Drosophila melanogaster: one gene and its partner. The protein of the gene in region 2 interacts with the protein of the main gene of each other region in a pairwise test. Each region holds a gene or a part of one and is shown on either strand. Other genes may lie near its edges.

Region 1 (7,303 bases), on a different chromosome or scaffold from region 2:
TTATTTTGTAATAAACGAATAATACTATAATACGTAGCTCAATTTACTTGTTTCCGTAATATGCGAGCATTTGCTCAAGCATATATCATAAATAAATTTAACTTCATCAAGTCACTTTACTTTCTAATTTGCAGTGAGTTTTGCGAAGTCAACCCACTGTGCACGGAGGGCAGCGGCAGCGCATGCGCAGAAGAAAGAGAGCCATCGCGGATCTTTTCAGTCCAAGTCCATTCAGATTCAGTCAAGTCAGTGCGTCGCGAGATCTTTACCGTGCAGGTTGCGATTTTAGCCGAGAAGTGGTCGGCCGGGAAAAGATAGTTATTTTACTTCCGTGAGAGTGTGTTTGTGGGAATAATTCGGCATCGAAACTTTCTTCAACAGCTGGCCATCGTTTGTATGTAAATGCAAATCGACCAAGAAGGCTGCAAGGCGAAGAGCCAGCGAGACAAGTGGAGTGTAGAAAGTGCAAAACCAGTTTTTTTGTTAGCAGGAAAACGTGGCAAAATAAAAAATTTACATAACAAAAAGTGAAACAACTAATCGCTGGTTTGATTATCTCATGTTTAACGAATGCTAATTGATCAGTGAAAGTGGGTAAGAAAAACAATGCGAGGAAGAAATGCCCGCTAAATTCCGCAAAGCAAATCGCACCTTAAAAAAATAACAAAAACTACGAAGCCGTTATGTCTGCCACCTACACCAATACAATTACACAGCGCCGCAAGACGGCCAAAGTGAGGCAGCAACAACAACACCAATGGACAGGCAGCGATTTGAGCGGCGAGTCAAACGAAAGACTTCACTTTCGCAGCCGTTCAACAAACTCGATGCAACAACACACAGCAATCAGCAACTCACCTTCACCACTGTGCTGTAACGGCGCTCGTGCTTTAACAATGCTCAATTGCTGCGTCGACGTCAACTGTCATTTGAATGCGCCGCTCCGCGGCAGCGTTAACCGGCACACGACGCCAACGCCGACCCCGACTGCGACGCCAACGCCGGTAGCGACGCCAAAACAAGCCTCCCCCTCGCCTACCTCCGATCGTTCGCGCTCCCTCTCACGCTCGCCTTCGCCGTCTCGGTCTCGCTCGCTCTCCTGCCAAAAACAAATCGACAAGAACAGCGCTGGCGCAGCATCCGCAGAAGAGAGAAAAACCGCTAATGCGAGTTCGCAGCCATTTACCGTTAACCTGAGAATCGATCTCTTCAGTTGGACACTCTTTCTCTTGGCCTTCGGCACGCGTTTTTACAAGCTGGCAACGCCGCCGCACATCGTGTGAGTAGAAAAACAATAACAAACCTGCAAATGGGGTCACCGCTGAATGAAAAAAATACACACATAACAATGTCTTAGATTTTTTGTTTATTAATTTAATCTGCGAGAGCAGAGTCTTACATTTAAGTTCATTGCATTACATTTAAGTCTTGCATTTATAGCTCAAATGATTTATGCCTATGTCTTTATAATATTTTCAAGATTCATAGTAAAATACTTCCTACCCAACAGATTCGATGAACTCCACTACGGCAAGTACATTTCCATGTACATGCGAAACATTTTCTTCTTCGATCAACATCCACCGCTGGGCAAACAGCTGATCGCCGGACTGGTCAGCCTGGCTGGTTACGATGGCAATTACACCTTTACCCGCATTGGAGAGCCCTATTCCCCGGAAATGCCCATCTTCTGGTTCCGATTTCTACCAGCCATGTGCGGCAGTCTACTGGCCCCCGCCGTTTACAATCTTTTGCTGGAGGCGAAGCTCAGTCGCTGGTCATCCGCTTTGGGTGGCCTGCTTGTGGTCCTGGACAACTCATTGCTGACGCAATCCCGTTTTGTTCTGATGGAATCAATGCTTCTGCTGGCCACCACGGTGGGCATCGCCTGTTTGCTACGCTTCCAACGAAGTCGCCTGGGCAGCCTGGAATGGTTCTTTACTGGAACGGCAGCTGCCGTCTGTTTGGGAGCCGCCGGAACCGTCAAGTACGTCGGATTCTTGGCACTGGGGCTAGCCTTTTATTTGCTGTGTCGACACCTGTGGCAACTGCTCTACGACGCCGGTCTCACCGGTAAGATACCTTTTTTTCTGAGATTTACAAATACGATTTACGATATAATAATAGAGATTGAATAAATCAAAATAAAACCATTTTTTTCAAGATCGCCAGCTATGGATGCATGCCATAAGTCGCCTGTTAATCTTTGTTGGAATTCCATTGGCGGTCTACTTGGGAGTCTTCTATATCCACTTCAAGACGCTGCACCGGGCTGGACCGCATGATAGCATCATGACTAGCGCGTTTCAGGCCTCGTTAGATGGAGGATTGGCATCGATCACAAAAGGACAGCCATTGGCAGTGGTTCATGGATCCCAAATCACACTACGACACACCCACGGACGCACCTGTTGGCTGCACTCGCATGCAGCTGTCTATCCGGTGCGGTATCCGGACAAGAGAGGCTCCTCCCACCAGCAGCAGGTCACCTGCTACTCCTTCAAGGATGTGAACAACTGGTGGCTGGTTAAGCGACCAACAAAGGAGAACCTGGTGGTGGGTGATGAGCCGGATATCATTCGGCACGGTGAAATTATTCAGTTGGTCCATGGAATTACGAGCCGAGCTCTGAACTCACACGATGTGGCTGCGGCAATGACGCCGCAGTGCCAAGAAGTCAGCTGCTACATAGATTACGAGATCAAAATGGCCGGTGAACTGTTGTGGCGCGTGGAGATTCTGAATCGCGATTCCGAAGGTGACATTTGGCATGCCATCAAGTCGGAGGTCCGCCTCGTTCACGTGTCCACAGAAGCCTCCTTGAAGTTCAGTGGGCGCCAACTTCCCGAATGGGGTTTCAATCAGCACGAGGTGGTGGCGGATCGTGAAAAGGCAATACATGAGGATGCCATTTGGAATGTTGAGGAGCACCGCTATACACAGAGTAAGTCCTCTTCGAGATACTTGAAGAAATACGTTATCCTCATTTACAACCCTTTATAGCTGAGGATCATCGGGAGCGAGAGCGCCAGATGCTAACTGCCGAGATGATACCCACAAAGCGGACGCGCATCTCGTTCTGGGCCAAGCTACTGGAGCTACAATCCAAGATGCTGTTCCAAACGAAGTCAGTGCCAAATCACATGTACAGCTCGATGCCGCACGAGTGGCCGCTAATGGACAAGGGCATCGCTTATTGGTTGGACTCACAGTCGAGTGCGCAGATCTATTTGCTGGGAAACATACTACTCTGGTACACAGCCACCATGGGAATACTTGTCTATGCCGGATTACTCGCCTTCTACGCGATGCGGCGGCAACGTCTTTGCTTTGATATTTCGGAGCAAGAGTGGCAGCGATTCGTATTAGCTGGTGACACCTTTTTTATGGGCTACGTGATGCACTATATTCCGTATTTTTGTGTGGATCGTACACTCTTCCTGCACAATTACTTGCCAGCCTTTGTGTTTAAGTTACTTTTATTGTGCTTTGTCGTGGAGCATTTGGACTATCTGCTCAGGCGCTTCTGCACCGGACGTGGTGTCCATCTGGTGCGCCTTTATCGCCTCATGCTAATCCTGTGGCTGGTGGGCGTGCTTAGCATTTTCTCAAAGTTTATACCATTCAGTTATGGTGCGAGAAAAATGACTTTAAATGAGGTTCGCAGTCTTCGATGGAAGGATACCTGGGACTTTGTCCTGCACAAGAACCACCACCTGTACTGAAAAAACAGATGCCATCTCCGCGGCCAGAGAGAGACGTGCAATGATGTACTAGTACCATGTACAATAGACTAGACGACTAGCTAAAGTTGAACTAATACTAAGCCATAAATTATTTGACATGTAAACATACTCATTTACAAGACCAATAAATACAATTATTTATTTATTTAAGATGTTCTGCTTTATCACTCAGTAATATGTATAAGCACTCTGAAAACACTTGAACCCACACTATATACATAAATACACTCATAAACATGGCCAATAAGGGACACTTTATAGACAGAAATGCAAATATACCGACTGCAGGATTGTCCACCAGTGGATTAGATGGAGCGGAAGGTGTAAAAGTTTGTCTTAGTATTAGCAATCCAGAAGAATTGGCTGAGAGTCTAGTTAGGCGCAATTACGGGCAGATCAATAAAAAATCCCAGAAGTTCCCAGCCGGTTCCGTTCAACCCAGCAGCAGCATCCGGGATTTGCTCACCAGCGAGTTGCAAAAGTCGCGCTTTATGTCCTTCAAGGAGAAGTTCTACGAGGAAATGTACTTCAAAAAGGCCACTTTGGGTGGGGTCAAGAAAACGTACTCCAAACCGGAAGACGTGACCAATATAAGCCAAACCTTCGGAAGTCCATCGAGTCAATCACAAAATGAATGTCTCTACGACGTCATATTGCCGGCCAAGTCGGCGGAGCAAGTTAATAAGGAGTACGAGGCTTTCCACGACAAGTACATCATCAGCCACAATCACTACTTTCCTTCGGAGCAGGTTAACCGCAGGTCAAGCTATTGGTCACTACAAATGCAATGGTGCATATTTAATGAACGTCTTAAATATTTTTTAGATATGCCCAACCATTTGATCGAAAATCACCTTGTGGAGATATACATACTCACGGCGATTTTGGACTGAAAGTGAAGCGATGTCTGGAGGAAGGTGAGAACCACCTGAAGGTTATTGGCAAGGCGCAAGTGGACTTTATGGATCGAAACGAGGCACCCCTCGGAATGCGAAACAAAAAGTAAGTATAGATAGATATAGATTTTGATTAATAGTTTTAGACTGTCTGTAGGTACACTTTTGCGGTGCCCGACATAACTTTCGGTGTTCCTCTGCGCAGCAATGGCGATGTGAAGATGCTGCTAAATAATATTGAACCCTGCTACAAAACCAACCGGCTACTAGATGCCATACGCTATTTGAACAAAAAACGTCATAGTTTGAGGAACCAGCTGGAATTTCACAAGTACGCACTAAATTCAGTGCTGGAGAGGAGTGACACGGATGGAACGGGTCACTTGCCACTGGCACGCATCTTGGAAATTTTCAGAAGTTTTCACATCCGTCTGGATGCGCAAAAAATCCGTCTGGCCTTGTCCAATTTTCGGCTGATTGTGGACGAGGGCTGTGCCACGGAGCGGGTGAATTATGTAGATTTCTTTCGACTTCTCTCGATTCAGAATTCTCTGCCGAAAACGGGAAACTTGACCAATGTATCCGATGTTAGTTGTCTGGACACCACATATCGTTTGCTCTGCGCCGATCTTCAAAACAAGTCAAAGGATAATACGGGAGCAATTAGCCAGAATCTCGAAGGGAATAAAACAACTGCCAAGGATCTTATAACACCGGATTTGGCCATTTTACGTGGCCTTACTCACAGTGATTTCACCTGTTTGCGGCCCAAAGCGGAAATCGAACGTATCTTTAGAAGTCTCGTAACAACTGATAAATTCGAAGCTATTTGGCAGAGTCTAATGACTAAGTTCAAGGACCAAAATGAAATGGCATCCGTCACGCAGTTTCGTACTGAAATGCACAACAAAATAGAGGCCATATCTACATAATACTTAGACAATTTACCATGACAAACAAATATATAATAAACAAAAATAAACTATAGCATAAGTTTGGGCTGTCATTTGTGTGAAGCAAATATTTGCTACAGCATTAAACTTTCAAAGCTGGTGTCTTACGACCAAATATTTAAATTTCTGTGATCAGTTAGGAAATCAAATTAATACTAGTTTTCTAAATCCGGAAATTACTGGAGAACTATAAATGGGGTGACTTCAACATCAGTTGATCACAACAGCCCTTCGCCGCTTTTAAGCCAAGTCTAATATCAATTGCTTTGCCAGCTAACCAACATAACCAACAATAACATCAAAGATGAAATACCTGTTCGTGGTTGCCCTTATTGCCCTGGCCATCCAGGTGGCTTCATCTTCTAGTAATACAACAACAACTGATGCCACCACCACAACAACAACCACCACTGCAGCATCGACCACAACAACAACAACGGCCGCTTCCACTCACAAAAAGCTTTGTTGGAGGGGCAACAACTGGTGCCACACCCGCATTCCCAAGCGGAAGTGCAAGAACCCAAAGAGGTGCCACAAGACCATCGTGATTGTGACCCACAGGAAAAATTAAGCTGCACTAGTAGTTTTTGAAATAAAGAAATTCTTTTTAAAAGAATTTTGCCTAATATTTTCATTTTATCTATAAAATTATTTTAAGTAGTATTTGTACCCTTAACTCATAACGCATAGTAAATGGGTATGCAATGTGTGTTTAAAAGTAGGTAACACTTAAAAAGTTTTCGATCCTATTGTATTGTACACATATGCCTTATCAGAATATATAGCCGATTTAGTCTATCGGTCGCCAATTTTCTAAAGAAATAGTTTCATCGCCTTTAAATTGCAAAAAATTGCCTTTACATATATTTTCGGAATAAAAACATTCTACTTCATTTTCCACTAGACACTTGTGCAAGCTAAACTCTGAGTAATAGGTATCTGATAGTCGAGGAATTGGACTTCAGCTGTTTCTCTTATTTTATTATGAATTTAAAGAATAATAAATAAAAAGAATAATAAATAATCGTTTTAAATAGAAGCAACATCACAGAAGTTTCTATTTTTCCAGGCAATACTCAATTCTTAAAAGTCCATTAAATTATTTATTATCTAAACTGAATTTGAAACATTTTAATGCATCTGAATTACCACTTCTACTCACTTCATTTTTAGGTTACTTTAATGTGTAAAACAGCTGTTTTACTATAATTGGAACTTTAATAGATAAATAAATATTATACCAACTTAAGAGACTTCCTATCTTAATAAGGAAATCATTTTAAACTGACTACTAACCATATGTGCTTACAAGGTGCAAACAAGAAGAAAACTATTAAAAAATTAAAGTATAAAAGATTATGATTCCACATTGGTTAATCACAAAAGTTTCTACCTTCATTTGAGAAGCACCATAAAATTCCAGGATCATTTAAGATGAAGTTCCTCTACGTGTTCCTCGTTATCGCCTTGGCCATTCAATTGGCAGCTTCAGCTACGAATTCAACACATGCCCACAAGACTAAAGTTATTGTGACCCGAAGGAAAACAGCAAATTGAGCTGGACATGTTTACACCATCAAAATAAACATTTCAAAAAAATACATTCCTCCTTGTTTTAAAATTTTGGTCTAATTTTGGTTGGCTAATGTGAAATGGTATTTCACGATTTTGGAGCAGATGAATTTTATTTTAGTTCCTTCTATTTGGT
Region 2 (8,366 bases):
ATCTGTAGTCCAGCGGAAATAACTTAATCATGGAGGGGAGCGAGTTGACGCGGTTTGGCATTCCGGAGGACTCATCTTTCCCCCGTGGTATTTGTGTGTGATATTTTTAAGTTGTACTTCAGCGGAATACAGAAAACACGCCCCGAACGTAATGCATAATGATAATGTATTCTAAAATTATTAATAATAAATATTAAATAAAGTAATCGTAACACGCAAAGCCCACCTCGGTTCCTTGACCATCACAATGTTGACAAGACGTAATATGAGATGATGTCATTTCCGTTTCACCCCAGCGAACAGCCAATCCGTCGTCTAAACATCTTCTAATCTGTGCCCTGTATTTCTCGGATTGGAATTAAGTCATCAGACCGATTTAGAAAATCGGATCTTGATTGTCGGCACACACAAACGCAGCTACTTTACCGGCATTTACAAAATTCTTCGAGGAGACATATTTCGATGCAATAGTTCAGTACAGAAAAGGGAATTTTGAGTTTGTTTTCTCATTTAATTGTTGAAAGCAGTAAAGTTGTCTAACAAGATTTCTTTGGGGCTTTGCGCCGTTTAACAGTAATTATAGTTTGAACAAAGCATTTGATCGCAAGTAGACATTGAGATTTAAAATTGGTAACCCTATATACATACATATATTTCGGTGGGTCAAGTCTGAAACTAGCTCATTTCCAAATAAACAATAAACTGACTTTAGGCATGAGGAATCCGTTTTATGTTTTAGCAGTATTTTATCTCCTTAAAAGCTGAACTGAAAATTCTCATATATTGCAATTCACAAAGGACACTGTTTAGAACAGTGACTACGTTTGCAGATAAATGAATTATCAAAAACTTTACAAGTTTATTCATTTGAATATTTTAGATATGTGACATAGAATTGTCTTCTACGAATCTAAGAAACCTCCTATGATTGCCTAGTAGACCTTTTATGTTTCTTTGGAAATGTGACCATTAAGTTTCCGGAATAGGAACTTAGTTATATCCCTCAAATTGACCCATCCAAGTAATACATTAATCGAATTAATACATTAAAACTGCTGGAGCCGCAGCTCAACTTGTAGAGCAATACAGGCCCGTCGTTCCTCCTTTAGTTCCATGCCCAGCATATTCTTCTTGTGCTCCAGCAGCGCATTCTCCCGTGTATAGTGCTCGATTATCCGCTCATAGTCGGATTCTGGGGGAGCCTGAGATCCCGAGGCCAAGGAGGCCATTTGACTGTTTATTGACTGCTGCTCGTACAGCTGCTTGAGCCTATAGACTTCGTTGCGCTCGGCGACGATACGTGCTTTTAGTTCGTTCTGCCATTCCATTAGCTCGTCATATTCAATTTGGAGCCGCAGCAAATTTTCGCGGTGCGGATTTGATTTGGGGAGCAAAATAAAGCCAGTGCTGGGATCAATAGTAAAATCGTTAGGAGCATCTTTCGGAGTTAGTGTATCGGTTTTTGGCTCTTCCTGGGAAATACTGTTGTTCGTAGATACGGCTGGAGTTCCAGCTGGTTTGGAGTCAGTGGTATCTTCACTGGCTACAGCGGGCGGAGCACTGCTGCTGTTGTCTACTTCCTCCGCAGTCTTTTCCTGTTTCTTCTCAAAAGTTCGTAGTTTCCGCTTCAGCTGGGTAATGATGCGCTGCACTTCCCACAGCTGTTCCTCGCGTTTCTTGGTAATGAACCCGGCGTTCATCTCGCTGTGGATCTGGGACAGGAGGCTGTCCTGCTTGCGCAACTCCGTCTGGATGTCCTCCGGCGTATCCGGAAGCTTTGGGCTGGTCGATGTTAAAGGGGGCACATACCTAAGAGATGACAATTTAGTATTATGATAACTTTGTTTAAATGTGTGCCATTCTGCCTGATTAGAAAACTGGCGAAACGTGGAAAGCGCTTCTGTTTACGGGGTAATGTGCTCATCGTCGGTTGCAAAATAAACGACTAAATCTGGCGATTTTTATAGCAGCAATCTTATCAACTGCCAACAGTGGTGGGAATTATCTGGGTTCTTATAAGTACCTATTATACATATAAAAAAACAATTTATATCATTAGATAAATATGGAAACTAACAGTTTACTAAAACTAACAGTTTAGTAGTTAACTTCAGAGCTATGACTTCGATTCGTTCTTGTGATTTAACTATAGTTGTTAAATGTGGACTTCTCTTTTACCAACACAAAGGTACTTGGATATTTCCCACCACTGTTATCCGGCTAGCCGGTGTTTGCTCACTTTATCAGCTGGACGTCCGCGAACAAGTTGTTGCAGTGGCAGAGTAGGGCCACCATTAGTCGGTGAGACATCTGGAGCGTCGGACTGAGCAGCATAGCCAGCGACTGAGCGTTGAGCTTATTGTGTCTTTCCTGCTGGATCACCGCGTCGAAGTGGAGCAGCACCCACGCCAAGAGGGTGCGATTGCACTTGGGCAATTGTTCAAGCAGCTGCTGCAGCTCTGCCTGCTGCGTGGTTACCTTCGGATGAGAGGCTACCTCCTCAAAGCGGGCCACCAGATCGGTGGTCAGCAGTGGCTCCGGCAGTTCGCGCAGGAAGAGCTTCAGCAGACTGCAGGCGGTAGGCAGGTTGAGCTCATCAACGGCGGAGTCGTGCTCCCGGTTGTTGTACAACCGCTTGAAGTGCATCAGACGCGTCTTGATGGGCTCAATCTTGTAGATCTGCTCACACTTCAGGTGATCCTGCAGGAAGTCGATGCAGTCGCGCACAACCAGGGGAATGTCCACGCCGTCGTGGCAGCGGGATCGTTCGGTCGCCAAGCTAACGGACACCCCAAAGACGGGATACCCAAGTGCCAGCACTTCCTCCGCGGCGGAGACGTCGTCCTGCTGCTGCGACAGCTGCTTGCTCTTCTTATCCTTTTTGTCCTTCTTGTCAGCCTTCTTGTCCTTTTCCTTGCGCTTCTCCTCCTTGTCCTTCTTCTTGGGCTCATCACGGTCCTTCTCCTTATCCCGCTCTTTCTCCTTGACCTTGTGGGAGACGGAAGGCTCCTCCTCTGCGTGCTTCGAGTCTTTTTCAGACTTGTCCCGCGACTTTTCCCGCTTCTCCTTGCTCTTGGAGCTGGTGAACTTAAAGGTCTTTGACTTTTTCGACTTGGATGGACTTCTGGAAGTAAAAGAAAAAATATTACTTGTCTCTGGGTCAGCTGACCTGCACCCACTTGGTGTCCAGCTCCTCCTCCGGCGAGCTCTCGCCCTCCAGAGCGGCGTATCCTCGATCCTTGCCCTTTTCCTTCTTGTCCTTGCGCCGGCCAATCAACAAGTCCTTCTTGCTATGGTCGTGATCCTCACTAACTGTAAAGGCAAGGTGAGCCCATTGATTTTTTCCCAGCTTACGCCCACATCTTTGCGCTCCACTCACAGTCGCTCTCCTCCTTGCTCTTCCTCGACTTAGCGTCCGCCGCCTCGGAGGCGTACAGCCCGGGAAACTCCTTCTCCTCGGGACTGTCAAAATCCATCACGAATAATCACTTCACCAGCAGTAAATAAATATAAACAATTGCCGTAAACAACATATGCAACAAATAATCGATTGCTTAATCGAAGTCGCCGCTGCTATCCAACACTGATAAGTGCACAGATGGCGCTACTGTGTCATGTAAAAAATATGTAGTAACGGTGTAGATATTTAAAAAAAGGCAAATTGAAACAAGAGAAAACGCTACAGTCGAGTTCCTCAACTATCAGAAATGCGATCAGCTACTAACTCTTAAATTTTTATAATATTAATATATATATATATATATATATATAATAAATAAATAAATAAATATGTGTTAATATATAATATAATAATAATAATATTTTAAATAATTTAAATTCTAAGAAAATATTTTTTATATATATACATAAACTACATAATACATAAAACTTCCAAAATGACAAGAGTACCACCTCTGTAACTACAGGATTTTGTTAATTGTGCGCGCTAGTGTGGGCGTGGTGAAAATGTTTTTTCACAAGTATACAAATTGCCAAGACTATTTATAAAATAAAACTAAATCAAACCATTTTTTCAGGGTGGGGCTGTAAAACTATAAGGCGGTTTGTTAACTTCTAAACTCCCAGAAACCGAAACCAGAATACAGCGATGAAAAAAAACTATTCGTTTATTAGTTTAAGTAATATTCATATATATATATGTATATATATAAAAATTAATAAGTTTGCGATACAATGTTCTTAATTGGTACGGAAACGCTTCCTTATACCTTTTGCATTCTTTTTACTTTACGAGTAGGCGGTTGTGTAGCAAATAAGTTAATCAGTATAATTATTTCACGACCAATCAATCCCGCGGTGCATCGCTTATCACTCAGCTTGAGTAGGGGTAAACAGTAGAGAGGAGGAGGATTAGGTCGCCTCCATTACCGGCAAGCCAAACAAATGCTAATAGTGCGAGCTGATGCGGCTGATGCAATTCCGCAGGGTGGATTGCGGCATCTCCAAAATGCTACACAGATTAGCTTACGGCCACTATAAACTGGCCATCAGCAGCTGGGAGCCGTTGAGAGCCAAGGATAGTGGCGTGGCCATCGTTGTCGTGGTGGTCGCGTTTCTGCTAATTGCTCTATTTGGGAGACAGACACTGTCGGAATAGGCCATAACCAGTCCAGCAATCAGGGTCAGCAGGAAAGTCAGGCCCAGGAGCCCGCAGCTGAGGCGCCGTACGGCCTGCCACCAGGGATCCAGAGCGAAGGGCAGGAGCTCCTCGAGCGTCAGTCCGTAGGAATAGCTACGAAAGAAGCGGGCAGGCGGCACTGTGTAACGAAGTTATTTTTTAATGAAATACGACGGAAAGCGTTTACTCAGCAGTTGTGAAAATGGGCTCATAATCCTTTGGATCCTTCCCCGTCGCGGGCACGACAATGATGTGCTGCTGCTGCCGCTGCTGCCGCTGCTGATGTCCTTGTTGCGTTGCCAGAAGCGCTGTCTTCTCGTTGCAGGACATATTTGCCGTGTGGTACCCTGGATGTGTGCCGAACAAGAGGGTATACGCAGTTTATGTAACTTTATCTGTAACAAGAAGTGAAAATAATAATAATAATGAATAATGATTTATTCAAATGACTGATAATTTATATATGATAACTGTGACATGTATCTTTCGTTTTTTTTTTGTCAATACCACCAAAGTTGCCGTAGCCCCTTGCAGGCACGACAGATAACTATAGATGGGAACTGGGTATTTTACAGTCCTTTTTCAGCCCTTCTCACGGGATAGTACCAGGATTGCAAACACTCCCGGCTGGAAATTGCTCCATTCGCAACTGGCGGACTACTGGCGACTGGCTTCGTTCTGTCGCAACTTTAATTAGCTTGCAGCTGGGTTGTCTCTCTGTCCCATTGCTTTATTGCCATTGCTGTTTGTCTTTGTGCTCGGTCCGGATTCCTGTAAACAACTTTATCTCCATGGGCCGTGGCGATCCGCTCATCTTCCGCAACCGGCGGTTGGTCTTATCTGGCGCTTTTTTGGGGCATTACATAACCGCAGCAGAGAAGTCGCCTCCCCCAGTTTCCCATAGCGATAAGGATAAGCCCAAGATTTCAGGGAAGTGAAAAGTTCACAGCCAGATCGATCGGTTTAATGTGTTAGTTTATTGGGATTCGGTTGGTAAACATGCACGGAATACATATATTCGTATGCCAGTAACTCTAGGGTCTAGGCTCTATTCGATTCGATAAGGTAATACGATAAGCCATATACTCCTTCGATTCTCAGAAGATCCTAGCTTTCGTTACGACAACGGGTATTTTCTTATAGTGAGTACGAGTATATATATTCAAATATGTAGCTTTCGATTTGGTATTTTCTTATAGCGTGTTAAAGTGAGAAGAGATACGGTTAGTGAGATCGGTGGATCGTCACCCCAAGCATATGCTATATAAAACTACATATGTATGTGGTATTCGATCTATTCGACTATTTGCATACTTTATCGGTTTAGTAAATACGAGTATATTTTTGTAGTTGCTTTTGTTTTTGGGTAAAATCACATTCATAAGTATACATTTAAAAATGCAGGTATAATTTGAATTCGAAAAAACATGATAACAAACAGCAAATGATTAATATTGTACAATACACATACATATTAACTGCTTGGCCTGCCCTCAAAACATATAGATATACATAGATTCGAATACTATCTATGGTATCTACTATGGTACACATATGTTATTGATTTTGAAACTCGTCAAATGAATAGGGAATTATATAAACAACGCAATGTTAATCATACAAAATTAGACATATATGTAAATTCGAACCCTATCATTTAGTTGTGCAACTGATTTTAAAATAGTTTAAATCAATACATAATGTTAAAGAACGCAATCATAGTAAAGTGGAACCTATAATTTGCTAAAGTAACATGCTCTTTCTCTTCATTCAGATACGCTTTCTACTCCTAGTTCTCTAGAAGTACCTAAACCCTATGTCGGAAGCACTTAAATCGTTTTATTTGCCTTTGCCATTAAAGATAATCGTCTATGGGTAATTTATTTGCATGTCTGCTTATATATCTGGTTATCCTCTGTGTCGTATTGTTACATTCACTGCTCCTCAGCACTTGCCCCTCGATTTCATATACTATTCGCTTTATTCGCAATATATTGATTTCCTTGCCACGGATTTCTTACCCTGACCCTGGTCGATTTTTTGTAACCGTCTGTTAACTGCATTTATATATCGCGATCTATGAAAAACGTAGGAGTATTCAGATATTGTCTGAAGTTCGTTTTAGTAAGGGAAATAAAAAGGCAATTATAGAAATAAATTTAAAAAGAAATTTAATTATAATATCTAGCAGTAAACGTTGACAGTATAACTTAGTACATTATTATTTATTCATGTTTGTATATTTATTAAATTGTTTAATAGTTCGTATATGCAGTAATTAATAATCAATTACGTCTAAATTTGGCGCAGTTTTCTCAACGAGTTCCCCGTACAGTTGTGTGACCCCAAATATATAATACAAATTTATGCATGTGGCTATAAATATCATTAGGCTTCTCTTCTCACCATTAATTTGCTACAATTTTGTTATATGAAAAATAGTACATTATACAAAAAATATGTACCTGCTCGTTACATTTGGTTTACAATCAATTCTAGTAATTCTCCTTATTATTTCGCTATTGTTTTGGTGTTTGCCTTAATATCCAGTTTTGTCTACTTCGATACCAGCGACGTAAGCGAATAGAAAGTCTTTTTTTAAGTAAATTGATTAGTGCTCACTGGTAGTACGTGTAGTTCTTCATAGTGCAGTGTGGACACACTGATGGTCTTTCTGGCTAATCGCTAACAGCTAATCGCTAGTAAGTAGTGCCGCCTTTTGCTTTGGTCAGAGTTAATGAAAGTGTTGCTAGTTGGACTTGTGTCGATAGTGTGAGGTGACTAGAACTAGTTGTCAAGGAGGCCCCTAATCAGTAGTAGTAGTTATAATTGTAGTATTTGTAGTAGATGGCTAGAGGGACTGCGTTTCTTCTTGGCTAAAACCTTTAGATCTTTCCTAAAACTTACACATGTATTAAATTAACAATGGTTTTCGGCAAATGGAGAGACAATATCGAGTTTGGAGTACGGAACACGATTTAAACTCTAAATCGATTCCGATTTTCCCGTTTTGATTTTATGGGGTCGATTAAGTACAGCTTTAACAAACAACAACAATGACTTAAGTTATACACAGAATGATATAATAAATATAATAGTATTCTTTAGAAAGTAAATTAAGTATATATGGCATAACAGTAAATGATCTCGTTACGGTTACAAGATTGCTGAGCCGTGGCAGCCTTTCTGTATTTACAATTCATATATGAATAGAGACAATAATCGTAAAAATGGTTTGTATATAAGCCTGGCTTAAACCTAGTTAAACTTTTAAATTTTACTTTTAGTATTAACATAAATTTTACACAAGAAATATTTATATATCGCGCCGAGCACATATATATATAAATCAATTTCATAAGTTTACATATAAAAACTGCATCTACAGCATCTTTCAATAGCTTCTAAGTATCGGTTAGCTCTGTTTTCCGCCGTAACGATCCTCTTCAATTTGACGGAAAAGTCCAACGCCATTGCGAATAATCAAGCCAAAGCCAAACCAACGCGGCTGCGAACTCCTTAAACCCGGATGACGTCGTAGGCTTCCAGTATGCATATAACCACGTAGAACACCCACAGGAATACCAGGATCGCTGCGCTGATGTACTTCGATACTTTCGGACCGCCCAGCTCGGCGCCAATGCCCTTGTGCCAGCGCCGGAACATGATGAGCATTATGGCAATCAGGGCCTCGCCGCAGAAGAGCGCCACGGCGAATCCAATGCTA

Evidence for each region.
Region 1: the proteins of Rlip (region 2) and CG32086 interact in a two-hybrid assay, tested with the Drosophila melanogaster proteins (one large-scale study listed by BioGRID).

The regions. Positions count from the first base shown.
Region 1 is NT_037436.4:11,580,713-11,588,015, reverse strand, and holds CG32086 (uncharacterized protein), read left to right. Parts: upstream 1-3,951; 5' UTR 3,952-3,982; coding exon 3,983-4,506; intron 4,507-4,571; coding exon 4,572-4,748; intron 4,749-4,799; coding exon 4,800-5,574; 3' UTR 5,575-5,615; downstream 5,616-7,303. Other genes in the region: rt (rotated abdomen), read left to right, coding at 684-1,279, 1,511-2,073, 2,165-2,944, 3,004-3,725; CG33269 (uncharacterized protein), read left to right, coding at 5,900-6,166; CG43391 (uncharacterized protein), read left to right, coding at 7,030-7,152.
Region 2 is NT_033777.3:21,012,888-21,021,253, reverse strand, and holds Rlip (Ral interacting protein), read right to left. Parts: upstream 3,571-8,366; 5' UTR 3,477-3,570; coding exon 3,380-3,476; intron 3,313-3,379; coding exon 3,180-3,312; intron 3,125-3,179; coding exon 2,240-3,124; intron 1,810-2,239; coding exon 1,047-1,809; 3' UTR 501-1,046; downstream 1-500. Other genes in the region: CG5697 (uncharacterized protein), read right to left, coding at 4,495-4,753, 4,827-4,969; Calx (Na/Ca-exchange protein), read right to left, coding at 8,159-8,363. UniProt on the Drosophila melanogaster protein: Participates in receptor endocytosis during interphase, is also involved in mitotic processes when endocytosis is switched off.